Linked DNA regions of Oryzias latipes. The main gene of each other region encodes a partner of the protein of the gene in region 2 in a complex. Links are inferred from orthologs where the notes say so. Each region holds a gene or a part of one and is shown on either strand. Other genes may lie near its edges.

Evidence for each region.
Region 1: the proteins of prkaa1 (region 2) and prkag1 are in contact, whole or in part, in a crystal structure (PDB 6C9H), measured with the Homo sapiens proteins. The link is inferred for Oryzias latipes from reciprocal best matches to the Homo sapiens genes PRKAA1 and PRKAG1. Residues at the interface, in NP_006242.5 of Homo sapiens: Ser295, Ser296, Thr297, Met298, Ile299, Asp301, Glu302, Lys305, Arg342, Glu347, Ala348, Phe351, Tyr352, Leu353, Arg369, His371, Pro372, Glu373, Pro376, Phe377, Asn449, Val451, Thr452, Thr536, Pro537, Arg538, Gly540, Ser541, His542, Thr543; in NP_002724.1 of Homo sapiens: His36, Asp40, Leu41, Ile42, Pro43, Thr44, Ser45, Val50, Leu64, Val65, Gly68, Val69, Arg70, Trp75, Ser77, Lys78, Lys79, Gln80, Phe82, Pro158, Glu159, Ser160, Gly161, Asn162, Lys170, Arg171, Lys174, Phe175, Leu178, Phe179.

What each region holds. Positions count from the first base shown.
Region 1 is NC_019863.2:4,032,717-4,048,767, forward strand, and holds prkag1 (5'-AMP-activated protein kinase subunit gamma-1), read left to right. Parts: upstream 1-1,820; 5' UTR 1,821-2,229; coding exon 2,230-2,298; intron 2,299-2,492; coding exon 2,493-2,544; intron 2,545-2,628; coding exon 2,629-2,729; intron 2,730-2,795; coding exon 2,796-2,877; intron 2,878-2,954; coding exon 2,955-3,013; intron 3,014-3,127; coding exon 3,128-3,173; intron 3,174-3,251; coding exon 3,252-3,306; intron 3,307-4,457; coding exon 4,458-4,584; intron 4,585-4,722; coding exon 4,723-4,888; intron 4,889-4,971; coding exon 4,972-5,009; intron 5,010-5,171; coding exon 5,172-5,318; intron 5,319-5,428; coding exon 5,429-5,528; intron 5,529-6,161; coding exon 6,162-6,172; 3' UTR 6,173-7,899; downstream 7,900-16,051. Other genes in the region: photoreceptor ankyrin repeat protein-like, read right to left, coding at 8,805-8,810, 10,912-11,681, 12,025-12,165, 12,241-12,370, 12,447-12,707. UniProt on the Homo sapiens protein: AMP/ATP-binding subunit of AMP-activated protein kinase (AMPK), an energy sensor protein kinase that plays a key role in regulating cellular energy metabolism.
Region 2 is NC_019870.2:7,425,663-7,441,634, reverse strand, and holds the end of prkaa1 (5'-AMP-activated protein kinase catalytic subunit alpha-1), read right to left. Parts: intron 14,983-15,972; coding exon 14,841-14,982; intron 13,718-14,840; coding exon 13,624-13,717; intron 13,342-13,623; coding exon 13,197-13,341; intron 12,268-13,196; coding exon 12,180-12,267; intron 12,086-12,179; coding exon 11,861-12,085; intron 8,934-11,860; coding exon 8,414-8,933; intron 6,996-8,413; coding exon 6,869-6,995; intron 4,862-6,868; coding exon 4,581-4,861; 3' UTR 2,147-4,580; downstream 1-2,146. Other genes in the region: ttc33 (tetratricopeptide repeat protein 33), read right to left, coding at 651-880. UniProt on the Homo sapiens protein: Catalytic subunit of AMP-activated protein kinase (AMPK), an energy sensor protein kinase that plays a key role in regulating cellular energy metabolism.

The DNA.
Region 1 (16,051 bases), on a different chromosome or scaffold from region 2:
TGCTTAAATATTTCACTTCAGATTTAACTGGAAGATTATACAAAGTGGTAGCAACACATTCTTTAATTGCCATTAATTCGCATTTATTGACATTCAAACAAAGATCGGACGCCTTTGAAAATGTCCCAATGACGTCAAAAGCAACAGGAATTTGCTTTTCATTTTTTAGAAAAAGTGTAGTGTCATCTGCAAGTTGAGTAATAATTAGTTCTTTGTCAAAGAGATTGATGCCTTCTACTGCACTGGATTTAATGTGATCTGTTAACAGTTGAGAAACTAAAAGGAAAAGACATGGAGAAACAGGACAACCTTGCCTAATTCCTCTCTCTAGATTAAATCTGGGAGAGGTGCCACCTGCTAATTTAATAGAGCTGTTAAAAATTTGGTATAATGTAACAATAGCTGAACCAAAACCAATTTTTTTAAGACAATGCAAAATGAATTTATGTTCTACGGGCAGCTGTGGGAGTCCCAGCTAGACGCTGGTTTCCTGGTTTGGCCTTGGTGAGTGATCTTGACATGTGGACCTTTTTAGTAGGGATGGGAATAGAAGCCCCATTAAGCCTCATTGGGGTTCATGTAATTGTGCCAGAAAAATAAACCACCCAGTCAGGGCTTTGAAACCACACAGAGTGGTGTCCTGCTCCGGTGCTCCTCCTCTGTTTTGTGTTTTCTTTTAATCACTGTTGGGGTTGTGGTTTGTTTGTGTGTATTGCGGCCCTGAACAGGTACTCCTGATGAGGGTTTGGATTGGAGATCTCCCTTGGGGTTGTTGGTGGCTATCCACTGGTGCAGTGAGGCTGAGGAGTCCCTGGAGGCAGCCGCCCTCATGCAGTGTTGGAGCGCGGTCCAACTGTACGAGTATATTGTAACCTTCAATTTTATGGAACTTGTGTCAAGTTTTTAATCACATTGTATACTAACCACTACCAAATCCAGTCTCCATTTGGGGTGTAAATGTAAGGGCATTCGGTCACAAGTAACAAAAAAAAGAAAACAACCACTGCATGTTTTATTTTAAGATTGAGGACATAATTTATTCCAGAAATGTAAATGTGTTCTATAACCGGTCCTTGGGTCTTGGCGGGCCGCACAGAATAAATAACTGTCATCCGTTTGCTTTATTTCGGAATCTGAAAGATGTTTTATTTTGAAAAACTGCTCGATTCTGTTACACCGTCTATGTCACTTGGACGCAGGCCAAGGCGCTCTTCTCGGTCACGTGATGGGTTACCGCTAGAATAAAACCCAGGAGCTAACAAAAGGAGTAAAACAAACTCCTTTGGAAAGTTTATTTGCCAAGGGGAAAGGGGCCAGCCAGGAGGCAGAAGAGGAGCCTTCCACTTCCAAAAAAAAAGCTACATTTGATACAGTACTTCTCTTTTGCACCACGAGAGTGGGAAGGGGAGAGGATGAGACCTGTGCGGTGTACGACATGTCTGTCAAAATAAAAGCTTGGTGTTCGTAATGTTAATGTCTCCGTTCCTCCATAACTTGCCTACAAAAGTGGCCCGCCACATCTTAAAGACCGTGTAAGTTTTGAATGACGCCATACCGGTCCGCGGCGTTAAAAAGGTTGGGCTAGATTTGTTTGTGTACACTTCAGACACCGATTACAGCGACTTCGTTACTGCGCATGTCCAGCTCCTCTGGTCAGAGCGGAAATAGATTGGCGCGGCGTCCTGTCACCCCGGTCAAAAGGAGGCGAACGGGCAATGGAATATGGATTGTGTAAGTGATTGGCTCTGTTTATTTGGGCACATTTAAAAGCCTACTCACAATATGCTCCTAACTCATCATACAATCATTAAAGCCGACGTTGGAAACAGTGCTAGCGTTAGCTGCTAGCTACGAACTTATTTTTCACGTTTGTTTTCGATCTGTCGGTTGTGTGTTTAGAAATCTCCCTATCTGAGGATTCGGCCTCGGAAACGGTTTATTTACGGGTATTCAAACATGGATAAACGGGTTAAATTGTAGTAAGCATAATAAAGACATTCTTTAAAGTCTTTGAACCAATAATTAACTCGAGAGGGAAGGTAAATGACTGACACAGACAGACCGTTAGCTAACAAGCTAACACGTTAGTGTAGAGAAAACCAGTAACAAAGGCTCTTAAAGTACTTTCTGCATGTTTATAACCTGTAACCTCGTCTTAAAGTATATCTATTCATGAACATCTTCTCAGGAACTAGTTTGTTGTTTTGCGTGGCTTCTCCTGGTGGTTAAATGAACAACGTCGGACCAGTTTCGTCAACGGAAATTGTTTTTATTTTACAAACGGGTAAATTAACAAATGTAAGTATATATTTATTAAAAGAAACTTTGACATGGTGCAAAATACGCAGGTGTGTTTCAAATAATCATTAACATGTTCACTCCGGTTCTTTGGTTAATCCAGTTATTTGGTCAGCCATCCTAACCTATGATTTTGGTACAGTTGGTATATTTTAAACTGCTCTTTTTATTATTTTATGTAATTGTTTCCCCAGATTCCAGTAACTATTGATGATCTTGAGGGCAAGAAAGACCCCGTCATTGAAGGTAACAGACTTTTCTGTAGATCTTATGACTCTGACGTAGACTGACTGAGGTGTGTTTTCATTTTTGTTTTGATCAATTCTTCAGACTCCGAACACAATGCGTACACGAGGTTTATGAAGTCTCATCGCTGTTATGATCTTGTACCTACCAGCTCCAAGCTAGTTGTGTTTGACACATCACTTCAGGTAAGAGAAACCTTTTAATCCATCAGATGAACACTTGAACGTTGGTAACTGTCAATAATTGTGCAGGTGAAGAAGGCTTTCTTTGCTCTCGTGTCCAATGGGGTGAGAGCAGCACCTCTGTGGGACAGTAAGAAACAGTGCTTTGTCGGTAAGATTTGTTTTGTTTGTTGGATTTCAGTTCAGTGAATAAACATCTTTATAGCTCATGTTTTTTTTCCCCTACAGGAATGCTTACCATCACAGACTTTATCAACATTCTGCATCGCTACTACAAGTCACCATTGGTAAGATGGTTTAGTCCGCCAGTGGACGAAGCCTTCAAATGTCCAACTTCAGCTGCAAGACTTCTATGTTAGTTACAGTAGCTACTTTCTTTAATACTCTATTTACACTTTCAGGTTCAGATTTATGAACTAGAAGAACACAAGATTGAAACATGGAGAGGTAGGAATGGTTGGAACAAGTTTTGCTGCATAGTTATTCTTACGTTCACTGCAGTAAGATCTTTTATGTTTCCAATAGAACTGTACCTTCAAGACTCCTTCAAACCTCTGGTTAGCATTTCTCCCAATGCCAGGTGAGCAGCAGTAGCACTTTAAACCTTTGTGTTTTTTTTTTTTTTTTACTTTAAAGTCTTGATGAGTGGGCAAACAATGTCTTTTGTTTTTTTGCCTATATTATACTATCATCTTTTGATCTATTCTCAAAGCGTTCCCAGTGGTCTTTTAATTGTGACTATGCCATTTTTAGCCAAAGTCAACAAATCTTCTCTAGGACATAGTTTCTGTAGAGCGGCAGTAGTTCATTAGAAATTTGCCTATGATTTGTGGGTGGGACTGTTGGTGTGGAGCAACCCCGCCCCCCTTCCCCTCCTGGTCGCTGAGAGCTTGGAGCAGGGTGCTTGTGGCCGCCCGCCCAGGGTATTTTCAACGTCACACATACGATCTTTTCTATGCGTCGCTTTTTTTGTGTCTGCTCCTAATTCACAGCAAGTTGAATAAAGCAATACTCAGAATAGCAATTTTGAGCTTAAATTTGTCTTTATATGTGTCTTCAATCATGAGAAATGCCACAAGAACATGTTAAAAACATCAAAAACCCAATTTTCATTGGAGTGGGTCTTTAAGGTGGATCTACAGCTGAGGCGTTCTCATAGAAAATTGCTCATTTCTAAGCCTTTTCAGGGCCGGCATTGGGAATAGCACTGGTAATTGAATAGGTCATCTCCGGAACACTGATGGAATAGTTTGACATTATCTTACCCCAAAAGAGAAACTAGGAAATGGCTTGACATGTTTGTTCAGGGATTCCACTGTAATCTGCAAATGCCTGAAAGCAATAGGTTCTTGACTGGGCTCTGTACTGAACTATGTCAGAGTTTTTGAAAAGGTAATCTGGTAAATGGTAAATAGTGTATAATTGTATAGCGCCTTTCTTCCTACAAGGACAAAGCGCTTTACAGTCACAGACCCATTCATCCAGTCACACACACATTCACTCACACATTCACACACTGGTGGTGGATCTGTACCTTATTAACCCCCAAAAATGGAGCAATAATGACATGAAGCTATATTGGTGGCTGCTATTCCAAATTTCAGCTTACGGTGGGCTTGTTTTTCACACTTCAAAAGCTTTAGCTTTATACTTCTTTATGTTAGCATCTGTCATTTAAAAAAGTGCTGACCAAAAAGTCTACATAGAATCTCACAGGATTTTTTTCCATAGCTTGTATGATGCAGTGTCATCTCTACTGAGGAACAAGATTCACAGACTGCCAGTCATCGACCCCCTGACAGGGAACACCCTGTATATACTCACACACAAGAGGATTCTCAAGTTCTTGAAGCTGTTTGTGAGTTCCTCTGAGGTCGTCTTTACCCGAGTTTCACATTTTACAGCAGTAATCTACTGTGGGGCAACAACTCTTTTTGTTAGCCTGGCAGCATTTTTCCATTGTTTTCTTGGGATGGTTATAATCTGTTGTTTTCAGATATCAGAGATGCCCAGACCCTCATTCCTGAGTAAAACCGTGGAGGAGCTGAATATTGGAACATTTAAAAACATAGCCATGGTGCGTAAAGACACACCTGTGTACACAGCTCTGGGTATTTTTGTTGAACAGCGTGTGTCTGCACTCCCCGTTGTGGATGAAAAAGGTATGTGGGCTGCTTAAAGTCATTTCTCTGTTTTTGCAAGTTTTCTTTGTTCCGAGGTCTGATGGGATGTCTCTGCTTTGCAGGACGGGTGGTGGACATATACTCTAAATTTGACGTTATCGTAAGTTAAAACCTTTCCCCTCATGCAGCATGTTCTGTTTTGTCACAGCTGTGTGAGAACCATGTAACCACTCTGGTCCGTCTTGCTTCTAAGCGCTAACTTGCGGATATTGATCAGTGAGGAAAGTTAGGAAAATTGCCAAATCAAGGTGTCTCTGTGCAGAATCTGGCAGCAGAAAAGACGTACAACAACCTGGATGTGACTGTAACCAAAGCCCTGCAGCATCGCTCTCAGTACTTTGAGGGGGTTCTGACCTGCCACATACACGACACCCTTGAGGCCATCATCAACAGACTGGTGGAGGCGGAGGTAAGGCTCGCTTTCCACTTCCACCCAGTTCTGACTGGAAATGTAGAAAAGACGTTTTTGCTTTCCTGAAAGGAGTATTCCATAAAAATGGTCTTCCTCTTTTGTTCCAGGTGCACAGACTAGTTGTGGTGGATGAACAGGAAGTGGTCAAGGGAATCGTCTCCCTGTCAGATATCCTCCAAGCACTAGTTCTAACTAACAAAGAAGAGTGTAAGTACAGTTTTTATTAGAGGTGTAACCATTCGTTTTATCAATGATTGGATTCATATCATCATTTGTGGTTGACGATATGATTCGTAGTCCATATCGGTTCATTTTGAATGATCCAATTCTCTGACCTAAAGTGGATCCAGGACGTCTTTATCCAAACTTCCAGCAGTGAGACTCAGACAGAAATTCCTGCTACTGAACAGTGAAGTTTTCCAGATTCTTGGATTTCTTCCAGATCATCAAGTGGAAATTAAATATGTGTCCAATCAAACAAGTAAACTAGAATGAATGTCACATCCATTCACGTTTTAGTTTCCTGCCCACTGTTGTTTTTTCACGTCCAAAGAATCCATGTTATAATAAAATAAACCTACCTTACCTCAATCCAGATGCTATTTTCCAAAATTGATATAATTGATTTATTTGAATTAGAAATTATCTTATAATGGTATTAGTCAACTTGATGAACAATTTGCCCCAGACGGATGGATCTGGTTGGATCGTAGGACCACAAATTAATTCACTGAATAATTGATTAATCGTTACACCCCTTGGTTTTTGACTATCAATACAATGGAATGTTTTTTGTTTTGTTTATTGATGGATTTTTACTCCTGATCATTCCATCTACAGGTTCAACTTAACATCTGATCATGTTTTCAGAAGAGACCAGAGCAAAGGGAGAGAAAGGCCACGCATGTGAGAAGGCTCATTTGAAATGTCTAATGTTTGCAGCTCTGCTCTCTCTGCAAAAGTCTGAGGTTGATCATGTCTGATGATGTCACAATCATAATAATCATAGTAGTACTGACCTGCCTCTTGGGGGAGCCTAACTCCAAAGCTGTGTTCAAACTCTGCTGGTTTGGTTTGTTCCAAACCTGGAGTTTGTTCCTGCAGCACACACAACTGAACACTAAAAGAGCTGTCCTCCAACAGCCGTCAGATGGATATGCTAATGCTAACATCTGCCTCCCCTTCAAAGTTTCTTCTAAGCACAATAAACTTTTTTTCTTCTTCACTGAGCTGCATTATTTTAAAATTTGTAAACACTTTAACCACATTTTAAAGTCCTTCAGTTAAAACCACTTGAGAGTTGCCAACATGACAATGTAGCTCACATTAAAATGTGCACAAAAGAGCTGCAAGAATGGGAGCACTGTGGCTCTAAAAACACCCTTTAGACTTTTTTTAACCTGAATGATGTTAATTTAATCAATAATAATCTCTTTGTTAGATTTGAATATGTAACAATATTATTCCATTGTTAGCATAATGTAGTATAATCTACAAGTTTGCACACATTTGACTTTGAATATGACGTGACATTTACTCAGCCTACATGAGAAACAAACCTGCGCTCCTGCAGAACCCCAAGTACTGTGAACGTTCAGAATTAGGAAACGGCTCCGCATCAGATCAGAACTAAAGGCGGTGAGGGGCGGAGGGAGACGTGTTAACACACCTGAAGTCCACTTAAGGCAGGTGAGGATGTCAAAGCACAGTTAAACTCTGCCCTAAATGAATCCACCTGCTGCTGGGATGGGAATCAATGAACATATCCATGGATTTGTTTTTACCCAGCAATGTTTTTTTTTCTTCAATTGGCTCATTTTTAGAGAAGAGAAGGAATAGATTTATAATCTTAAAAGATGGGACTGTTGCAGCTTTAAAAAGCCCTTCCAGTCAGAGACGCTTCTTAACGTTTTTCTTTGAATGAATCTTATTTCATTCATGAATTTAGTTGTCAGTGTTGTCAACACGTCTGCCTTCAGAGTGACCTTGTAGGAAGTTCAAAGTTCTCCTCTATTTCATGTCTGTCATAATCTACAACAATGACCAGAACATGACGGGATTGCTAAAAAAATTACCCAGCCATTTAATTTGGGAGTTAGTATCTTTAAGAAAAAGATTTTGTCATCATCTTGTAAAGCTACATGTTTAATGGACTGTTTGTTTGTTGCTTTGACTGGTTTTTTTTTTTTTTTTTTTGACCCGCATTTGGGGTTTTGTATTTATATTGTCAACACTTTACATCGTTGCTTCAAAGTCTAATGTTTGTGCAAAACATCTTTTTGGTCAAATTAAGATTTTGTCGAATTATACAAATAGAGATTTTTTGTCAGTCAATAATCCATAAAAAGTCATAAGTTTAGATATTACAGGTTCTTTTATTTGTATTTTCTTTTCTGTACTCCAAAGTCACCACAAACCAACACGTCCTGTCATTTATTGTTGTCATGAATTGAAGACGGAATGCAAACCGCTCTGTAAATTCACAGGTTTTGTTCTTATCCATACTGAAGCTCCAATTTAACGACAAAGCAATAAAAAGTTATTCATTGGCATCTTTTAAATGCATAATATCCTTAAATCTTTGCCTCTTTATTTTCAAGTTTGCACTAACTCTTTCAGGAGTTTCTGTGAAAGCTGAGTTAATGCACACTATGACTGAATGATTTCCCTACACAGCCTGCATAGGATGTTCCATTCAGCACAGGCCTGCAAAATTAATCCCAGATTTATCGTTGTCGCGATTTCAAGCTGTGCAATGTCCAGATCGCAAAAGTCAGCGAAAATCACAATAAATGGTAAACCTTAAAGGTGCTAAAACAACTATTTAATGAATTGAATAATCCCTTTATGCATTTGACCAATCAGATGGAGCCCTTCACGTTGCTGACCAATGGGATGGAGCTTTTATGTTAGATGTTGCCTGAGGGTCATTTGGAGAATAATTTAAGGTATTTTGACTCTTAGTTAAATTAAACTTTTGCCGGGAAATGGAAACGTTTTTTCTATTTGTTCATTTATCGCAAGTTATATCGTCGTCGCAATGTTGATCACTAAAATCGCATATGGCGAGTTTTCCTCATATCGTGCAGCCCTATTCAGGAGTCAATTATGCAGAGATTAGATTCATAATTCATAACTGCAATAATTACACAAGGGCAACGTTGTTAATGCTCCTCAGTTCAAGTTTCAGAATGGCCACAGACCCTGATTATAGAGCAGTTCCTTAAATGACCACTAGAGGCAGCACTTTCACTTCACTCTTATGTTAAAAGGTAAAATATTACACACTTGTTTGCAAAAACTTGTTTCGATGTTTACATTTTGTTGATTAAAACCGAATCTGAAGCTGCTTTAAATTTTTATTAGAATTTGATTTGTGCACAATTAGACATGTTTTTGATTGATAGGTAAACAGAGTAAACTTTCATTTTACTCTGTTCCACCCCATCAAACTTTAGGAAATGTTCTGTAGTCCTTCAGTCCTCAGTTCTGCCAGAGAGGACAAAAAAGCATTTATAAAGAAACGATAGACAAGTTTCGAATCACTAAAGTGAAAGATTTCCCTCCATCATTGTCTTATCCTGAGACAAGCTGAGCACTGTCTGTGGTTAGATCCAACCTTTCTTTGTCTTCCTGCTTCAATCAACCATTTTGATTTTTTCAGACCATTAAACAGAATCTAACCAGGCGATCAAGTTCCCATATTTAGACCCACTCCAATGAAAATTGTTTTTTTTGTGGTGTTTTTAACATGTTACTGTTTCTGATAATAGAAAAAGAAATATGTAAAGAAAATTAAGCTCAAAATTGCATTTCTGAGGATGTCTTCATTCAAATCGTTGTAAAGCAGGAGTAGACACAAAAACATCTTATTTTGTGTAATAGAAAATAAAAAAGGCAGTTTGAAAAAGCTTGCAGCAATGATGTAGGTGCTCCAATCAGCGGACCACAAGCTTCCTGCTCCGCTCCATTCTGATCATCCACTTGGATGATCGTCTTTGTTTTCCTCACTACCTGCTTTCCTCGTCTGAGCTGGAATGTGGATCAAACCATGTCAGGTTAGGGATGTTAGGGACTGGAAGCCAGCAGCATGTTAGCATGGGGTTGCTCCGTGCCAACAGTCCCGCCCACATTTGTGATTTTTTTTTTATGAACTCCTGCCGCACTTCAGAAACTATGTTTTAGAAAATGACACAGCATTTGGGATTTTGGCTAGAAACAGCATAATCATAATTAAAGACCACTGGGGAAGCTTTGAAGATAGATGAAAAGATGATCTGAGTGGGTCTTTAATATTAGAATGACATTTTTAGATTCTAATTAGGGCCTAAATCATTAAAAAAAAAGACATTTGAATGTTTTCTTTTAGCTCTAACTACGATGGTCCTGAAGTTAAAATCAGATTTAAAAAAAATCAGCATTACATTTTAGAAAACAAATGTAAAAAAACTAAAGTAAATTCCAAAAAACAAAACAAAATGTTAGAAAAATGAACCCAATAAGAAACCGGAACAAGAAGGTACAACAGACATCTCTGACTGTATGACGATATATCGCTTCATGTCTAATTACTTTCCATTTGAAATGATGGACAGACATCATCCTACAATCAGCAATGTCCCATAGTACCTACCTTTGTGCTTGTTTTAAATGTTTCATTTTGTTTAATGGAAATTTCTTTTATTTTCTATAAATTTGTATCATATTTATGTTTTGGTTTCTGGAATTTTATTGAGTTTCTCAAATGTGATGCTGATTTTTTAAAATATTTGTTTGACTTTTTTTGTTTTAATCGCCGTTGTGGTCTTTAAAATGTTTTTGCGGCTAGCCCTTTTTTTGTAATGTTATTTGCACTTCAGGCCCAGCGTAGGTAACAATAATCCATGATCTGTGCATCATCTTTACGTTTGTAGCGCACAGGTATGAACAGGAACAGCAGCAACACTGAGCAGCTGAAGCAAAACTAAAGCCACTAATTTGAGTTCAATGAATTCAGTAAAACATTTTAACGTTTGGAGTTTACGACTAAATGATCAACAGTACTACAATCTACAGTCCTGATGCTTTGTTTGGTCTCAGACTGGTGAATTGAATCTAGCTGTGTCATGTTTTCTTTTTCTATGTGTTTATTTGGGACTTGAATCAGGATAAAACTTTGGACTCAACATTCACAAACAGAACACGTTTTAAGGGCACAGTATTGGCAGAATCAAATCACACTTTTTTACTTGCTTATACTGCATGAGGGTTACAGAATAAAGATCTAGTCTTTAGCCATGTAGCAAAAGGAGCTTCAATTATTCACTCTCCCTAAGGAAACATTATATATTTGTACAAAATGGCTAAACACAAATGGGTTCTTGGTCCATATTATGCAAGTGAATGTGGCATAGGCTTATGATTACATATCTTTTTGTCTGAATAGTCAAGCATGAATCTAATGTTTTTGCCATGATCATAAAAGTATCAACAAAATATATAAATTAAACTTTTTTTTCTCATAATAAACACGACGATAAATAAAAAAAGACTTGTTAGAAACCTATGCTTTGTTCTTCTTACAGTCTTTCTTTTTCTCTTCTTTTTCAGCTTTCTTCTTCTCCTTCTTTTTCTCGTCCTTCTGCTCCTTATATTTCCACTTGGGGGGTTCCAGATAGCCCTTTTCCTTCTTCTTCTTCTTCTTTTCCTTCTTTGGCGCTGCATCTGCAGGCGTGTCCACGCTGATTTTAGGAATACACCCAGAAGGAAACACGCTGTTCCTCCTCGCCATGCTGCGGGGAACAAATGCGGTAGCAACCTTGGTGGAGGCCAGAGAGAGGATGCTGCCCCGCCGCTCGGTGTCGGGGCAGCATGTGGCGGCCACGGTTTCTGCTGAGTGGATTGAGGGGAGGACGTGGGACGCTGAGCCAATGCTGTGGCACACGGAGCTTTCTTCCAGCTCCTTCAGAGAGTGTTTTTTCAGCAGCTCTGCTACAGCCAGTCGCCTCTTTCCCATCTCTGGAGGACTTGTGGGGCAGAGCGGCCGGCATCCCGTAGAAATCAGAGGACTGTGGACACTGGTGGTCATGCGCACCATGTGGTCCAAGACCCCATTGTCCTGGGGATCGCGTGGAAAGCTGAATCCAAACGTGTTTTTGATTCGTAATGTGATTTTCTCTGCTGGACTTTTCTGAGCTGCGGCTTTGGCCACTTTCTCCCTGAGCTCAGGCCACTCGACCACATAGTTCTCACAGAACTGCTCTGCTTTTGGCCTCGCCGCGAGGCGCCGGAGACGATGAAAGGTCTCATAGCGACCAGTTTTGAGGGCCCAGTCCCGGGCACATTTTCCACGGGTGGAGTCCACTGCATGTATGTCTGCTCCTGGATGATGAAAATCAAACAACTAAAGGTTTTTTTCTCAACTATGGGACATTTACGTTCAATGTGTACAGTAAAAAGGTTTTTCATAGATTTTTCGGTAACAAGTAAACTAAAAATAAGCAAGTGATTTAGCTACAACTAACCAGGATACTGGTAAGCTTGAGATTACTGGATGTATGTTAAGATGTGATAATTCCTTCTGAATGATCCCTTAAACTGATCTTGGGTCATTGGCTCCTGTACTCTGATCACCAGAGGCAAACATGGCCTACAATGAATCTTGTATCTTAAAAGTTGAACGTAAGAGTGACAGTTTGTGGGTGGGTTTCATGTTCTTACACACCAGCCATAACAAGTGCAGCCACAACATCATCGCGGCCCGTCATCGCCGCTTTGATGAGGGCTGTGAAGCCTCTGCAGTCCTTCACTTCAGTGTCTACTCCAGGAAAGTAGTTCAGGAGATACATGACTGTGCTAATGTGACCTGCAGCGGGACAGATGTTCAGCCTCACAGTTGGTAGATTGCACTTCTGATGATGGAGCAACTGTCACTGTTCACCTGCTTGAGACGCGATCATCAGTGCGGTGTTTCCCTCGTTGTCTTGGTGATTTATGTCTACAAATGGACAGTGGTGGAGTCCGTATACGATGTCGATGAAACCTTTGGAGCAGGCCACCATCAAACAGTTCTGCAAGTAAAACCATTGAAGGCCGGTCAGTGACTCTGTCAAAAGCAGAATGTCTCTCAGAGGATTAAGCTCTCACCCTGCCATTGTTGTCAAGCTTCATGACCGCCTCCTTGGAAACTCCTCCCCCCAGGATTTTCTGCAGAGAAATGGCATCGTTGCGCAGACAAGCCTCGTACAGGCTGGAAGCTGTTGGGTTATTTGGGATTTCTGGTGTGTAGTCTGGGAGCACAGAGTCATCAGAGAGGATGCTGTCGGCGTCCGTGTCTCGTCCTGATGCAGGAGAGTCGTCCTCATCAGGACCCGAGCCCAGATGTGGGTCGTCCGCTACAGAGGCCATCTTCCAAAAGAACACTGGCCTCTTCCTTTACATCTAAAAATATTTTACAAACAGAAACTGATGAGGCAAAAACCTCTCCACAAACCATCCATGACTTTTGCAAATCAGAGGTGTCAAACTTGTTGGTGTGTGTCACACCAAACAGTGCACCAGGCTTTAGATTTGGCACGTTGGCGAGTCACAGGTTGACTGCAAAGGGTGACTGGAGTCAGGGATTACGATTGTGTCTGACGTGTGGCATCATGAGCTCAAAAGGCCACTTAGGTGGATCAGCAGTAACTGTGCTGCTGCGTTTACGGCGCAGCTAAATGAAGAACAGCCACCTCAGATTTACCTCAGTCACATGGTGCTGCTGCTCCGTCTCTGCAACTGTTTCTGTTGGATGAAGGAATTTCTCCACTTTCTTTCACAGCGTCAAACCAACAGTCCAGCATGCACTTAAATCTGAAACCCAAACCCAATAACTTCAGACAAGAAAACTTCTACCGAATTCAAAGCAAGGAAATCATTGTTTTATTGACAGATTTGTTGAAAAATAATATTTTGATTTGTCATTGAGAAAGTCTTGGTTTTCGTCTTTCAAAGCCTCGGACTGATCTTTCTGCAAACTGTAAAGTGTTATTAGACCAGCATACAGACGACTGAGTTCAGTTTCTTACCGTGACGGTATCTGTGACCTTTCTGACTGCAGGTAGATTCCTCTCTCTTCCTCCAGAGTTCTCCTGATTTCCTCTAAAACAACAACAAAGTTGTTCCAGGACCTGCAAGCGGATAGCCTTTCTTCATTTTCATTCCCAGTAAATCACAAAGAGGAGGAGTCTCCCATGCCGAGACGCTGTCTGTTGATCTCTTGTGCTTAGCTCATCCCACTTACAACAGCTTTAGAGAAGATTACTCACTGCTGAGGTCATTTTACTCTCAACACAACTCTGACTTTCTGCTAACTACTTCTGAACTCGGTTTATGTTTAAAAATGTAAAAGATTTACCTGCCATTTCCTTACAAATGAAGCTGTAAATCGGGATATGAATGAGCTGTCTGCCTGGTGGTGGTTTGATTCCTGGTTTTTAGAGCCTTTATGTGTTCTCAGCAGAATACTTCACCTCACATTGCCTCAAATTCACTGAATGCTTTATAGGAGGGTTTGGATAAAAGTGCTAAATGACTCAATATTGACAAATAAATAACACATTTAAAAATTAAAACATTAGTGATGATTCATTTACTTCCAAACAAATACCTGGCATCTGAAATAAAATTGTTTCTGGAAAGAAATTGTACAGTCCCTGACAAAAGTCTTGTTGCTTATCTATTTTGTAGAAACAAAAGCGTATAACCTCACTGTTAATGAATCCATTGGTTTTAGAAATGTCTCATGAAAGCTAAAACGTTCCCAAATTATGTTCAATATACTAAAATAAAATTGCTTCACTGAAGAAAGATTGATCATTTAATGAACACAGAAAGGTCACATTTTGGCAAGACAAAAGTTTTGTCGCCTTGTCATATGATGCACCCAATCCTAGATGACAGCCTCAGCTGTGATCAATTACTGATCAATCAATTAGTGGGTGTGTATAAAAAGAACCCCAGCACACCAAGCCTTCACATCAACTGCAACTTGACCTCTGACAACATGCCTAAGATTCACCCTGAGACCAAAGCGTTGATTATCAAGAGGCTGAAGACCAGATCACTGCTGAGGTGGCTGACACCTTCAATGTGTCTCAGCGTCAAGTACAAAGAATAAGAAAAAGATTTGAAGAGACTGGAGATGTTTTTGACAAGCCCAGGTCCGGCAGACCCTGCAAGACAACTGCTCGGGAGGACCGTTTGTTGGTTCCAAAATCCAAGGCCAGCCTCTTTTCCACTGCAGCAGAGCTCCACCAGGCCTGGTCAACTCAAGTCCCTGTGTCAACCAGAACAGTTTGTAGAATTCTGTCTCAAAATGGCCTCCATGGTCGAATCAGTGCCCAGAAACCAGCACTAAACAAAAGGCAATTGAAAAAACGTGTGGCATTTGCCAAGGCCCACAGCTGCTAAAAGGATGGACGCTGGAAAAGTGGCAGAAGGTGGATTTCTCAGATGAGTCTTCAGTTGAATTACATCACAGGAGACCAACTGGAGGCCGCATGGACCCAAGACTCACCCAGAAAACCGTTAAGTTTGGTGGCGGAAAAATCATGGTCTGGGGTTACATCCAGTATGGGGGTGTGCGAAACATTTGCAGGGTGGAAGGCAATATCAATAGCCTAAAATATCAAGAAGTATTAGCTACCTCTTACATTCCCATCCATAAAAGGGATCAACTTCTGCAGCAGAATGGTGTTCCATCGCATACTTCCATCTCTACATCAAAGTTCCTCAAGGCGAAGAAGATCAAGGTGCTCCAGGACTGGCCAGCCCAGTCACACGACATGAACATCATTGAGCATGTCTGGGGTAGAATGAAAGAGGAAGCATGGAGGACGAAACCAAAGAATCTTGATGAACTCTGGGAGGCATGTAAGACTGCTTTCTTTGCTATTCCCGATGACTTCATCGATAAATTGTATGAATCATTGTCAAACCGCATGGATACTGTCCTTCAAGCTCATGGAAGTCATACAAGATATTAAATATGGATCTCACAGTAGCACTACTTAATTCACTGATGTTATGCAACATATTTTTGTTTTTGAAGTAAATTATTTGATAAATTTTCACATTACTCTCTGTAGGCGACAAAACTTTTGTCTTGCCAAAATGTGACCTTTCTGTGTTCATTAAATGATCCATCTTTCTTCAGTGAAGCAATTTTATTTTAGTATATCGAACATAATTTGGGAGGGTTTTAGCTTTCATATGAGACATTTCTAAAAGCAATGGATTCATTAAAAGTGAGGTTATACGCTTTCTACAAAATGGATAAGCGACAAGACTTTTGTCAGGGACTGTAGTTCAGTTCAATATGGGGATGACTTCAGGCCTGATATCTATCCCGAGGACTATCATGGACCCCCTCCATAGTCTGGGTAAGCCACAAAAGCCTCTAGCTAAGGAGGCCGGATGTTCACAGAGCGCTGTGTCCGAGCAGAACAACAGAAAGTCCAATGGAAGGACAACATGGGGCAGGAGAAGATGCTCCAGCAAAAGAGAAGACCAGGGTTTTCAGCGGATTATCCAAAGGACAAGATTTTAGAACCTGCAGAACTCCAGGAAAAAGTGGAATGAGGAGGAGGAACAGCTTCAAAAACCACCACGTTCAGACCCATTCGGGAGACGTGCTACAACTGTCGAATTCCTCGGGTCAAACCACTTCTGAACCTGGACCAACGGAGGAAACGTCTCAACCGGGCCAAGGA
Region 2 (15,972 bases):
GGTTGTAATTATGTCATTTTTAGCCCAAAAAAACACACCAAAAAAATTGTTTTTAGGAAATAGTTTCTGTACAGCGACAGTGGTTCTTTAGAAATTTGCCAACAGGTTGTGGGCGGGACTGTTGGCGTGGAGTAAGCCCACGCCCCACTTCCCGTCATCTATCTATTTACAGTTTCCCCCGGTAGCTCACAGCGTTTCCCAACGCCAACCTTACACAGATACGACTGGAGGTTCCACATCATACCTACAAGCTTTTTCCGACAGTATTTTTTCATCTGCTCCTGATTCATAAAGGTTTGAATAACAAAATAATCAGAAATGCAAATTTAAGCTTTATTGTCTTTATTGTCTTTATGTGCTTTATGTGTCCTCCATATATATATAAAAAAGCCACAACAGGGACATGTTGAAAACAGATTTTTTATTGGAACGGGATTTTAAGTATAATTGAGAATAGGTATTGCAAGTATATACGTGTAGTGTAGGATAGGAAGTAAACTAACTGACTGAACACTTCTTCGCAATAAATTGGATTATTTTAAGTTTACGATACATAAATAGAATATAAAAAGTAAACTTCAAATATATACTGCCTCACTTTAGTACAGTCTAAATATATTTGTACTTTTGGTGCAGGTGAACAGCCTCACCTGCCCTGCTCAGCCAGCAGCGTCCCCTCATCCTTCAGCCTCCTGCTCTTCTCGGCGCAGTCCTCCAGCAGGATTTCCCGACGACGCTTGATGGCGTGCAACCAATCCACCTCCTCTTCATCGGGAGCGGCTCCAGCGTCCTTATCTTTCTCAGTGTCAGCCTCAAACTGTTGCACCGATGACTTTGACACCTTTTCACCGATTTTCCTCTTCCAGCCAAATGAAGCCATTCTGTAAAACAAACAAACAAAAGAAAAAAAAAAGACTTTAATTCCAATGCTTTTATTTTGAAATAACATGATAAATTGTCATATTACGAATATTTTTTTGATTAATTGAAAAAATGTACTGACGAATTAGGTCATGTAAAACTGGAAGACAATTATGAAAGAACGGAAAAGTTAAATTAAACCGAGTCGAAACAATATCGAAAGCAGACAGTCGAAATGCTAAGGATCCAACGAGCTAGCATGTCCCCGGCTAACATAATCACCTTGAAACATAGACCCAATTTCTTGGTTAAAATGTGCTTTAGTTCTTTCTAAATGTGCACGAGCAAGTACAAATTTTACACAAAATACATGCAACTGTTCTGTACGCACGCGTGTTTTGCAGCTGTCCGCGAGCAAGAATGTTATGCTAAATTTACGCCATGTTTAGAAACGTATGTGGCGCGTTCACGTCGTGTAGTTAAAACCAAACACGAAACTGTAACTACACCGGAAAAGTTATGAGAAGAAAAACAAAAATTCAGACATTGATAGAAATATTAGCATACTAATACAGATACTCTACTTAACATACTATTGCGAGCATGTATAGATTCTGGGAATTTTCTGCTAAATGTTCTTTGCTCTACTCCAACACGATATGGCATTTTTAAATATAAATAAATATAACGATTTATTTTATTCATACCTATATTCCACTTAAAGTCTATATTATTTTTTATGTGTCTAAAATAGGGGTGTGATCAACTTTTTCGGAGAGGAAAATTACCTTCGACCTTTGAACTTTTTCACGTCCTACTCTAGTAGTAACTCGTAAACATAACATAAACCGGAAGTGGTCATAGCACGCTCCTCTAATAGGTCTGTTTAACTGATATAGAAACATATTAAACAATTAAAGTAAAACTAAAAAACTAACATAAAAATAAAAAAATTGAACAATTTTGGGGTTGTTATCATTGCATGGACCTGTCAGAACTATAGTTTTGTTTCAGTAAAGTTTTTTTTTTTTTGCCAAACAGGATTAATACAATAACAGTGAAATCAATTTTGAATTGAGATTTTTTTAATGAAAAAGTGCAGTTGCATTTTTTTCCCTTTAAATATATAAACTACATCCACAGACTTACCCGAGCCAGTACTATTATTATTATTGGTCTAATAGTGCAGTAATCTAATCTAAGAATGACTCAAATTTTTTTTAGTTTGACTATAAATAATATATATTGTGAATAAAGTTTAGACAGTAAAAAGACAGACAAAAAGTGCAGTTCAGCAGTTTATTAGGCAGTTGTGTATACAAATGATTCAACAATATTCATTCAAATTTACACGGATCAATCTGGTATGATCTGCTTTCACATCAAACAAAACACACACCAAAAAAAAAAAAGGTTTCTTTAAAGCAGTTCAAGAATAGACTAAACTGAAAAGTCTATCAGGGCACTTTTCCATAAGCTTGCAAAAAATACTTTTTTGCACACATTCATCTCTCTTGAAAAAATAAAAAAACACCACATATTCCAAGACACACTTTACCAATGATTTCATATCTGCCCTTCTAAACCAACATGAATGTTAAGTTTATCATTTTTCCAAAACAGTCTTTTTAGATTCATGTTATTTATAGGATTTCAACATAAAAGACTAAATATTAACTAAAGACTTCAGTCTACACTTCTTTGCAAGACACAAGAGAAGTGATTACAAATACAGCCACTCTAAGCTAGTTTTCATTGAATGAAACCTCTGAAAAATAATCTTTAATCCTGATGGGAGTCCTAAACACTGTAAACTTTAAATGCTGAGACTTCTTAATAGAAAGATCAAACGTCACTTGTTTGATTTTTGACTGTGCAAAGTTCTTTTAAAACCAGGTTCATTACAGGGAACTTTAAAACTAGAGAAACTAATTTAACTCATACTGTCAATTGGCTTTGGTGTTTCATAATAAAACCTGCTCGCCGTTGCAGTCGTCTTCCATAGTTTGGCAAAGTGTTGCTTTGATTGCAGTCAGGACTTCCCTCTTTCATTCCTGTAAATGCCGAGTGCTTTAACCAGAAAAAAAAATCCATTCCTAACATGGCTTCTAAAGTTCCACTAACAAGAGAAGTGGAGGACTCTTAAAACTGCAAAATCCCAACCAGCAATTAAATTTAGACTTGAAAAGTGATGAAACAGTACTTATAATGATAAGGCAGCCAGACATCACTTAAACCTGTAAGACTGGAGACAGAAAACAGAATGAGAATTTAAAAATAATAATAATAATAAAAGCAAACTAAGAATTGGCGCTGGATAAGAATCTTAATGGGTTTGTGTGCTTTGCTTCTATCATTTTAACAGCACCTGCCAATGCCAAACTCAGAGGTCAAGTTCAGGTTACAAGCATGGGTAAATCTTTAATTAAGGTCAGCCTTCAGAGGAATGCGTGAACAATCAGAATATGTTCAAAGGTGGAAAAGTCATGGATGTATTTTTCTGCCTGCACTCGGATCACTAGTCAGCTTGAAAATAGAAAAGCCCCCCCAATGAGGCTTTCAGGGGACAGATTGGCATTTGTGAAGTAAATGTCAGCAAAAGGCATTTTCACTCAGTCACTGTATTCCAATGTAATTAAGGAATGACAACAAAAAGGTAGAAATGAACCGGTCCTTTAGAGTGAGGCACCCCAAACAAAAATTAAAAAAAGATGCACATCTGGATTAGGTCTCTTGTGTTATGACACCTCCTAAATGGAAATCAACTATAATTCTCTTGAAAGACAATCAAGTGTCACAATAGTTGTGATTGAGGAAAAGCAAAATTGTAAATTGACTAAAAACAGTAGAAAAAAAAAGGTAAATAGATATTTTTACCATCCAGCAATAGAGCTTATAATACAAGAAAGAAAAAAAAATTAAATCTTTTTAGAACCAACACTCAATCTACCTAATGCATTGATAAATATATTCATGTCTTTATATATATATAAAAATGTGGGGGACAGAGAAATTCAAACAATTGTCTACAACAAGGACAAAACATGAACATTTAGTTTTTGCCATTTAAGATCGACAAAAGAAAAAAAAAAAACATAAAAAAGATGAAGCATTCTTTTTTTTTTTTTTGTCCCTGACACGCAGCAGAAAAACGCTGCACTTCTTCAGAGTCCGATGAAAATGACGGGCGCCGTTTGAAAGCGACGCCCTGGAACACCCGCACCATTTCTGAGACGCACTGAGAGGAAAAATAAACACGAGCAGCAAGTAAGAACAAAAACTTGTGCAAAAGTGCTTCCTGCATCCTTTTGACTGCCGCTCAACCATCCAGCCCCAGCAACTGACTTTCTTCTTTGCAGGCATAAATGTGATCTTGCTCCCTGGCAACAGTACACAACGTTCAGTGTCGTCACTTCCGCATGTTTTTAGAGATGGGATGTGGACATCTAGGTCTGAATTGATCCAAAAACTGTAAGACCTTAGGATAATTGGTGTTTTTGTGTCCTATGCAGTTTAGTATCTTGTTATTCTTTCCCCCTTACCTTTAAGAAAAACTCCTCCTACATCCCTTTAAGCTTAGGGAACACCAACCTGCATCGGTGCCTTGGAGGAGTCACCTCATCCTCAGCCAGGATGAGCTGAGCCATGAATCGGCTGCATGCTTATTGCTATAAAGACACTCAGAGAGGAGAAAAGGCTAGCTATGATTGTTCTGCAAGCTATCGTGCAAGTAGTTTAATAAGATTTGCGCACATCTCAAAGAACTCGATGGTGTGGCTTCCCGGTCGGGGGACAGACATGCTGTCCCCCGCCGTCGAGTCGATGGACGAGGTCAGGGATGAAGCTAAGGAGCCCTCGGCGGTCTTAGGTGGTAGCGCGGCGGCAGATGTTGCCGGAACATCTGCTCCTTCTGCATCGTTCTTTGTAGTGTTGCGGTGGTTGCCCACAGATCCAGAGCGGAGGGGGGTTGCAGTCCCAGACTTTGTCTCCAAAATTTCATCTGAATAAGACAAACACAAAAGGTTGTATTCTTAAACCTGCCCAAAAAAACATGCTTAAAGGCTCCCTGAAAGCTTTAATTACAGCTTTTCAAATGTTCCCAGTATTCCATCAATTATGATTTTGCAGTTTTTAGCCAAAAATGTAAAAACATGACAGTTTCTGCAGAGCAGTAGTCGTTCTTTAGAAATTCGTGTTTGAGTTGTGGGCGGGACCGTCGGCGAGCAGCGAGCTCGTAGCCCACAAAGCATATTTTCTACATATCAAATGCGATCTTTTCAAACTGCATTTATTTGTCTGCTTCTGATTCACAACGATTAGAATTAGGAAATACTCAGAAATGCAATTTAAGTTTTTTTTTTAAATCTCCTCCATCATCATAAAAATGGCGCAAGAACATATTAAAAACACAATTTTTCATCAGAGTGTGTCTTATAATAGTTCTGATCTATTATTCTTGGTTGCAGATATTACAAGTTAGCAGCTTGTCAGCAACATCTGCAGAGTTCCAAAAAAACAAACAAACCCTTTGTATGTCAGGTTAGAGTCCTGGAAGTGTGTTTACTAAAGCCTTCAGCTACACTTTAGTGATAAAGCTGAACTTGATGGGAGTGTAGGGCTCAAACTTTACACGGTTCGTTTGTGTCACACCAAAAGCTCAAAACCCCTCCCACCTCACATTTTCCTGTGAGCCACTGCCAAACACCCACACAGGCTCCCACATCTCCCCACTCCGAGTCAATCATTTCTGAAGTCTGTGGCGAAGCAGCACACCACAGGACAGATTCCAGGGAAACGTTCGGCACAGTCTGTGAGCTGCATTTGTCTTAATGTTCAAGTATTAAGCTAAAGAGAAACAATCTTTTTTAAAAAAAATCCAGTCCTAACCCTCTCCACAGGCTTTTATTACACATTTGGCTGTTTTTTTGTGACTTCAGATGACATTCAAAACATATTTTGTCCTTTGAAGGGTTAAGCAGCACAACACACAAACATTTATTAAATAACCTTTACAAAAACATCCACAAAAATAATCTATAGGCCATTCTTTCTTAAAAGAAATAAAACCCAAAAGGTAGCTTTGGTTCTTCTAAAATATTTTAAAGCTGAAACTAAAAGATGAAGATAAAAACATTCAGGTATTTAAACAAAATCTTAGCTCTGAATAATAAAAACAAAAACAAAATATTCCTAGAATGCGTCTTTTTTATAAACAGATAATGGCCTGATAAATGACCAAGAAGTGTGTGAAAGGTCAAAGTTTTACAGACTCATAAATCAAAAAACGTCGAACTGGTTTGAACATGACAGCAAATATTCATTGAATCAAAGTGTAGGGCAAATTGAGCAGATTTGTTGTTTTTGGAAATTAAAATATTAAATAGATGTATTTAGAAGGGTTCATTTTATCATACTTTCCCTTACTTTAAAGGAAAGCAAACAACAGTAGCTGTACACCTCCCTGTTTGTCCTCTTACAGTGTGTGTGTCTGCATTGTTTTTTTTTTTTACTTTAGTTACAGTAAAAAAAATAAACAAAAGAAAATAAAGATCTACACTAGGGCTGCACGATATGAAGAAAACTCGCAATATGCGATATTAGTAATTAATATTGCGATAACGATATAATTTGCGGTATATAAACAATTAGCAAAACAACCAAAAATATTATTCCCATTCCATTACAAGTGCTTAAAAATTATACTACAAATGACCCTTGTTGACGTAGGAGGCGAACATACAACATAATAGGGCGCCATCCGATTAGTTAACAACGTGAAGGGGTCCATCTGATTGGTCAAATGCAGAAAGGGATTCTTTCCATTAAACACTTCAAATTGCCATAAGATTGTTTGGCCACATCTAAGGTAACCATTTATTGCAAATTTGCTGTCTTTTGCGATATGCATATTGCACAGCTTGAAATTGCGATAACGATAAATTTGCGGTATATTGTGCAGGCCTAATCTACACACTTCCTGTTTGAAAGAATGTTGTAGGAAACTGACCGTCTATGCTACGGAAGTCGAGGAGGTAGGTTCTGCTGTCCACTTGGTAGAGTTGAAGACTCATCTTGGTTAGCATCCCTGTGACGGGGTTCTTCCTTCTCACACGCAGGTAATATGGGTTCACAACCTGAGAACATCCAACGAGAAAACAATCAGCTCACTGATGAAGACAATCTGACATATGTGATCCCTCTTCAAGGTATTGGCTTATTAACATAATGTAATCAGCCAATGATATCAAGACTACTAGAGTTTGGTTTATCGGACACCATTAAAAGCAGTCTTTAAAGAATTCTCATCTCTCACTCGGAGTTCCTGCATATAGGTGATGCATTTCCTCAGGACTGAAAATGTAAGATTCAAAAGTCTAGATGATTAGTTCAAGTCTCACAACAGCCTCCTGTGTGAATATTAAAACATGTCTATGGAAATTTCCCTGTGTGTTGTTAAATTATGGTCTTGGTCACAGTAATTACTTCAACTTCTCAAGGCCAATTAAATAAAAGCTAACTGCTGAGCTAATTCAATTTTATTTAAGTCAGTCTATTTTCATTTGGATGAACTGACACCAACTTCTAGAAATGTGGATGTTTATCACTAAAACACAGATGGGGAAGTTCAGGTTTATAAGGTTGTTCAGACTGAATTTTAAAAAGACATTACTGTATCGCAATGAGTGGCAGGTTAAAAAAAACAAACAATCCTCGCTAACAAAAAAATGCAATCGTCAAATCCATGAGCCCACTTTCTTTCTTTTTTAGGGAAGCAAAGCATAAAAAGAGAATGTGTGTCAACTTTAATATAAGATTTTGTTATTTTATTGTTAAAAGTTTCATCATTGTTCAATTTAAATAAGTTTTTAACAAAACAAACAAAAAAAAATCTAAGAAAAAAAATTTGATTTTAGGAAAAAAATAAATATTTAATCAAATCGTATAAAAAATCATATTGTAGTGAAAAAATTAAAACTGACTGGTAATGATTTTCAGACCTGATGACAAGATTATTAACATTGTTATTAATAAGTTATGTTAGAAAATCTGTGCTAACTGATGTTTGTTGAAACTAATATTGCATATTGACCACAGAATAACAGGAAACATATATTTTTTATGAAGGAAAAGTGAAAATTTCTCTCCTAAATTTGACCGTTTTGTAGTTAAGCTTTAATGTTTGGCCTCACTGTGGGATCTTCTGCATGAAGGTTCTTTTTCGTTTAGTGTGTAAGCTAGAAACTTAATTTCAACTAGGAAAAAAATTGTTATTAAACAGATTTTTATCTTAAGATTCTTGAGTTAGGTGAGATGGATAGAGAACCTCTTCAAAGATCAGGATGAAGGTCTGTTCATTAAAAAAATAGATTGTGTGGATTTAACGGGTCAGAACATGTTACAGGTTCTGGGATTTTAAAATGCTTGAGTCGCAACAAGCTAAGGAGTTCAAACAACATTTCAGTAGTGGCCATTTCATTTAGCAGGTGTCCATCTGGCGTGCAGACATGTTTGGCAGGAACCCATCCCCACACCGCTCAGAGGGACGTCCTACCTTCCACTCATAATCCAGCTGTTTCATGGCGCGGCACACTTCCGACATGATGTCATTGGGTCGGCTCTGACTACGGATCCCCAGGTGCCACTTGGCTCTCCGGACGCCCTGGTGCTTGGACTTCTGGGGGTTCAGTTCGTCCAGGGTGTGGCGGGGCCTGGGCGGAGTTTCCGCCACGAGGAAGGGTACCCGCTCGGGGTGGGGCTTTAAAACGCCAGCCACGGCTGCGGCGGAGGAAGTCAGGTGCTGGTCGTCCAAGAAGGAGTCGGGAGGGCTGGACGCCAGGTAGAAATCCTTGGCTTCGCTCATGATGCGCCGATTGTCAATGATGAGATGGTAAGCCACAGCTAATGGATCCTGATGGTTGCGGCTGTATAAGCAGGACAGAACCTCCTCCTCTGTGCACTCGAACTTCTCACAGACCTCCTTCAGGGCCTCGTCATCTATCATGTTGTTGCTGTAGGAGGGGTCCTCAGGGAACAAGTACTTGGGTAGATCTTGTTTAAACCAATCGTCCTCCCTGTGGGGAGCACACACTAGTTAATTTACAAAAAAGTGAGCGTTTGGTGTCTATAACATGTTCTTATGGCATTTTTCTGATGGAGGAGGAAAAATATGAAGAGAATTAGGCTTAAAATTGCTTTTCTGAGTATTTCTTCAATAAAATCGCAAATCAGGAGCAGACAAAAATATGTAGTTTGAAAAAGATTGTATTGGTTATGCTACTCCCTGCTCTGCTCTATTCTGATAGATGACTACATCCATGTCCGCCTTTGTTTTCCTTGTTTGATCTGGCATATCTGGCTTAGAAGATATGGCTGGATAGCTCCACTATTGCTCGCCATTTTTGTCGCACCGATAATGTCAGGTTTGGGGTGTGAGGGCTGTGAGCTGGTGGAAAAGCATGTAAACAGAGAGCTCTCAGCAAGGGGGGAAGGTAAGGGGGGGCAGGATTTCCTCCATGCCAGCGTTCCCGCTCACAACTTTCTACTGAACTCCTGCCGCTCTGCAGAAACTATTTCCTAGAAAACCACACAGGTTTTTTTTGTTTTGGCTAAAGACGGCACACACATAACTGAGAGGTCTTGGGGAATGCATTCGCAATAGATCACAATATGATCAGTCGGGGTGCAACGGATCATGGTACGCATCACTAGCCACGGTTCGGCACACACATGTACCACAGATCAAGCCCCAGTCTCGCTTCTCGTGTGCAACTTGTGTCCGCATCATTTAAATCAACCGTCTATTCACAACGAACGCCATTCACGTGTTAAATTTCCATGTCTCCGTTTTTGTTATAACATGCCTTAGTTCCTGCCTGACACACGTCCAAAAAGGTGTTAAGTTAAAGCCCCGTGGCGTGTGGGAGGAGCTTCCGTCTAATGCTTTTCTCGACTTCATCATGGAGGACGTGGATGATGAGGGATCAGTTCTACAAAAGCATCGATGAGCAGCGCACGTCTCTGTGTGTGAGTTCCTGACATCATTCAGAGACTCTCACAGCCAGGAGCAGGCGGTAGAAAGCCACCGCCCCATCTGTAACCAGTGGGAGGGGTTTTATAGCAGCGAGGGACACAGTGAAAGACTGTCAACTCATAAATTCTGACTTCATTTTTTTGAATATATATACATTTTTTTTCTAGACTCAATGTGTCATATTGCACTTCGTTTACATGGGCATGCTGAGTATTTTTTCTAGATAGGAATATCTTGAGTTCAAAGATGTTATTCATTTTTTGTTTTTGTAAATATTTTACAAACATTTGTGTGTGTGTGTGTGTGTGTATACATTTTGAAGTACTTGATATTTTTAATTGAATATATGTTTTGAAGCTTTTCCAAACATTAATTGTAGGCCTCTTTCTTGTTTTTATTTCCTTTTTACTGATCCAAAATAATGATCAAAACAGGACTCCCACTAATGCACCCGGAAGGGTCTTTAAGGTGTATTTTACTCAAAGCGCTCTCAGAAAATACGGGAGAGAACGGAGGTTTAACCCCCAGTGATTCTGACATCAGCAACACTGTTACAACTAAAACATGAGCGCACTGTTTACAGGAAACAAACCCACTCAACAGGTCGGCTACAGTCTAGAGTGCACATTCCTCCAGGGTCACGTGGTGTTAAAGTGAGCGAGGTCTGCCGTTTAATCAAAGCCATCAAGGAAGTGTGCAGTAGAGGCAGCTGTCAGCAGCTTCTGCCTCTGCCACAAGAGTCCTCTGGGGAGGCTCAATTCTCCTCCTAGAGCCTCCTCCAATAACTGAGGCCCACTTTGGCCCTGAGGCTAAAAATCTAGGAACTCTTGGAAGAAAATGATCAGGAATTGGGAAAAAGTTGCATAAGTTTCACAAATTAAAGTTCTTTAGCCTTTTTTTGGGGAGAAAACTTTCAGGATTCAATAGAGCAGATTGATGAGCTTGCCTGCATTCACCACACAGCAGCTTCCCTAGAGTTTATTTATATGTTGGTTCCTTGCAATATCGTGGTTTATCTCACAATGTTGCTTTTTTTTTTGCAGATTTTTGTGTGCGATTTTGCATGCTACTGTCAACCAATCTCTGTGCTGTGTCTCCTGTCCAGAACGTGTTCAGTTTTCAAAATCTTTGATCAGACCTTTGTTTTCATTCTATAGTATTACATTTATTTGTCTATTATGGTTTCAACTTTGAGAATTTAAACAAAGGAGTAAAGTGTGAAACTGTTCATGAATTTCTGAGAAAAGTATATCAAGAGCATTGTGAGGGGTTTTACAGCCTTAATAGATATTTGTAAAAAATAAAGTTGACTACTTTGCAACCATTGACTGTATACGAGAACTGGACTGAGTGAGTGTGACCTCACCCATAGAAAATGGATTACTTCCAGCTCCAACGCCATCTTTTCCTGATATGGACACCGCCATGTTGGAGCCCGACGTCACTAAGCTGTGATTGGTCTGGGTTGGTCGGTGTCCTTATTTCTATGGCCAATCAGGAGTGAGCTTATTGAAAGTCCACACCCCTTTCACTTGAAAGCGGCGGGCTACATGAAATCTGTTTATCAGACGTTCTGAACGTTCGACGTGAGGGCCAGCAGGCACCACCTACTTTTATCGAGGCATCAATTGGTCGGTTTTAAACTTGAATGAAAAAAAAAAGGATTAACTAAAACATTTTTAAAGAAAAGGTAGCAGAGCAGGAATAGTTATTCTGACAAATAGAATGATTAATATCTAATAGTAATAGCCATTTACTTCTCAATAGAAGTTTTGGGTTCTTGGAACCAACACGTACTTAATATTTGGATTGCGAGGGGGGAGGAGTGACTCAGTCCAGTTCTCACATACAGTCAATGATTATAATGCAGATGGTTTTATTGACTTACAAGAAAGGGTTCAGGACAAAACTAACCATGAAATTCATGTTACCTAAACGAAATATTGTAAACAGCCTGGTTGATCTTACCGGATCTCTTTGATGGTGGCTCTTTTCATCGGGTCCACCTGCAGCATGTGTTTGAGAAGGCTTACTACTGAGGGGTTCAGATACTGCGGGGTGAAAAAGATTCCATCGCAAATCTTTTTGAAGAGAGTTGGCACATGGTCATCGTCAAAGGGGAGCGTCCCACACAACAAGGCATAGAGAATGACACCACTACTCCAGATGTCCACCTCTGGACCTGCATATAACCTAAAAAAACATAACAAAAAGCAACAATTAGAACAAAACTCAACAAGATATTTACAATATTTCTTTCTTCTACTAAAGGAAATGCAAATGTTACCTTCCTGAAATGACCTCAGGAGCAGCATAGTTCGGAGAGCCACAGCTTGTCCTGAGGAACTCTCCGTCTGACATCATGTTTGATAAACCTGCAAGAAAATAGAATCCTCTTAGAAACATCTTCCTGCACAAGATGGAGAAGTTAAAGACCCACTCCGATGGAAAGTGTCTTTTAAATGTGTTCAGGAAAATGAAGTAAAAATGTGCATTTCTGAGTATTTATTTTTTTCAAATTGCGCATTTGTGACGTTTCTAATGAACTCCTGCTGCTCTGCAGAAACTATGTCCCAGAAAATTACAGTTTTTTTTTCAATTTGGCAAAAACCAGCATAATTAAAGACCACTGGGAAGGCGTTTAAAATACATCAAAAGACGATTGCAGTGAGACTTTCAGGTGACCTCCATTACACCATTTTTAATCATTAAACTATTCTTCAAGTCTTTCCATAATCCAGCCTCCTCCAGCTGGTTCCAGAGCAGCCAAAATTCTTGAAACGGTTTGGCTCTTCCGTGTAGTTAGATAATAAAGTTAACACATTTCATATTTATATCCATTTGAGCTTCGGCCATCAAAAGTTCAAGATCTTCACACAAAAGTTGAAGTCATTTCATTTCAGCCACAAGAGAGAAAAAAATATCTATAATCCATCGGAATGGAGATTGTTTGACAAAACCATTCCAGGACAGATAATGAGGATAACTTTGTGTTAATTTCCTGCATAGCTCCGGTTGAAAACATGACCTTCAAAGTGTGTTTTGCATGTGAGCTGTACATTATGACATTTGTGTGGAGAGGAAAATATTTTAATAAAGAATTCAACAACTTTATTAACTTCAGGTTTTTTTTAATCAAACCAAAAAGTTCCACTTCCTTCTCTTCTCAAGCCTGTATTCGTCAAAATATTGTTTAAAGCAGCGGTTTCCTCATGTCGTCATAGGTAAACTCAACTGATAGTAAACACCGATATGCTTGACACTACAACCAAAACTACAGGTTTTAGGAATAATAAATACCTACCAAAATCTGCAATCTTTGCATTCATGTGTGCATCTAGCAGCACATTTTCGGGCTTGAGGTCTCGGTGAACCACCATGTGTCTGTGGCAGTAATCCACAGCTGAGATGATCTGCTGGAACAGCCGACGGCTCTCTTTTTCATCCAACTGTTAAAGCAGAAATGACCCATTAGGTGTGATCTCTCGCGGCTGACTTAGAATCATTTGGTATTATGCTTTCTTTCTTTTTTTTTTTTTCCACAGCCAGTGCCAACTTTGTGGTTCACACTGTGTCAGGATTACTCAATCACAACAAGCACATGCAGCTCTTCTTCTGGATTCTGGTTACTTTAAAAATAAAGTTTGACATTTACTTAAAAAAAGTAGAAAATCCCTCCTTATATTTAAATACTAACACAGAGGACAACTTCCAGTATTAGAGCAAATTACCTTTCCATTCTTGCAGATGTAATCGAAGAGTTCGCCCCCTGAGACGTACTCCATCACCATAAAGATATCTGTGGGGGTGCTAATAACCTGATACCTACAGCAAAAACAAATGAAACGTTTAATTAAGAGGATTAAACAGCCGAGGTGAGAGATAAATGAAAAAAAAAACCATCAACAGTGCTAATGCTCAAACAATAAAAAGCAGTTAAATTACAACTTCAAAGGATGAAAGGTGGGTGAAAATCTGACCAACACAGTAAATTAGTGACAAGCTTAAAAACAGGGAAAGAAAAAATATGTTTATTAAATCAAAAATAGGTGAAATAAGGCAAAATTAAGTTAAGTTTGGCGCTTCAGTGTATAAACAATGTTCTACAGCTTGTTTGCATCATTCTCTCATGAAATGACCCATCTGAGTCTAAAATTAAAGTACCAACTCGTGCAATGGCCATTTATGGGCTTGAAAATGGTTCTATGGCTGTTCTGTCAGAGTTGCTGCCACTAGGGGGTAGTTTCAGAAATATGTGGCACATCCTAACAAGGGGGCTGCCCTCTCGGTTGTTTGTGTTCTGTCGTTGGTCCATTAACTTTGCTCTGCTGTGGAAAGCCCAGAGGTCACCATGGACAAAGAGCAGCTCTGGGGAAGAATGGAACCAGCAGTTCAACTCCTGCGAGACTTTTAAAACCTTTTAAGTATTGGGGTGCTGTCCTGGGAGTGCAGTTTAAATGAGTGATTAATGTTAGTTGTCATCAAGCTTTTAAGGCAAATTTGGACCAACCAGCATTCAGCCTTTAGCCATTTGCTAAACAGTGCTGGTTGGACCGCGAAAATTCTTCCCTTCACTCCAGCGGGTAGGGAATTGGATCAGATGAGCTCTGACAAAAATGATTAACAGCTTAAACAAAAGTTATGAGCAATACCAAAAGTGATTTAAAGCTATAAATTCAAAAATAAACCTGAACATTTCCTCAGTAATATATTTGAGATTGAGGGCAAACAAGTCAGACAGAGAGGAATGATGCTGTCAGACATGATTCACTAAGACGAGGCGATTCTGCGAAACCAGCAGAGGCTTAAGTCCACAGATATTGTCCTAAATGGATGTGGTCTAAAACACACTATTAAAGTCTGAAAATAGCTCCGTGAGTGGTATTAATGTGGCGGCGGAAGGATTAGAGAGCGGCGAACGGTGCGTGGTGTGTAATCTAGGACTCACAGTTTAATTATGTGAGGGTGCCTGAAAAGTTTGAGGTTCTGGATCTCTCGCCGAATCTTTCCCACCACGTCCAAGCTGCGAATCTTCTGCCTGTTCAGGATTTTCACCGCCACTTGATGCTTGGTAAGTTCATGTTGGCCCACTGCAGGACAAACAGATGACAGGTCATAAATATCCTGGATTTTTAAGAATAGTTACATGGAAAATACAAGCCACAGTTATTAGGAATTACTTATTCAAAATATTATCAAACATAGTATTAAAAAGTAACTTTAAAAACAAAATCTTCTATTTAAATAAGCTGTTTTCGCAAATATTTGTTAAAGTTCCAACATTCCTAACGGAAGCTGCATCCATTCATTGATTACCAGACGGGACCTTTTTTGCATGTGTCACTGTTGATGCCAATTCATAGATTGATTGAAATTTCCCCAAACGGTGAGAGAAGCAAGTCTGCAGGAAGCTGAACAGTTTTTTTTTTAAAGTCTTTCAAAGTTCAAGTGGGAAATCAAAACAAGCTCATTTCATGGCTATGTGGGCCAAACACGTCCAACTCTGCAGTTGACCTTTAGTCTGAATTTACTGAAATTATGCTATTAACGTAAACCCGTTCAGATAATAGAAATAAATGAAAACTTTGATCGTGTGGATAGATTCAATCAGAAAAAAATATTTCCGCACAACAAAGACATTAAAGCAGCACAAAGAAAATACTGCAACTACTACTGGGAGTTGGAGAACAGTTTTTGCTTTTTAAGTTGTCCCATCGAGAAACACAAATCTGGCTCAAAGGGATATCATTTCACCTTTTAAAATACAAGCACGTCAAAAAACGTGTCCACTCATCCAACAACTATCTTCTGGCATCCAGGATTCGAGCTGCGGAAGCAGTAGTTTTAGCGAGGAACCCCAGACCTCTCTTTTCCCAGCTACCTCTTCCAGGATACAGCTGGGAGATCTAATCTTTCCAGAATGTCCTAGGTCTTCCCATATGCCCCCTCATAGTTAGACACACTCTTAACAACTCCCTAAAAAGGCATCTTTGTGGAATTCTCACAACGTTTTTTTTTAGTTTCCAGATATGTTTTAAATAAAGGTTAACCAATGTCTATTTACTGAAACCATGTTGGTT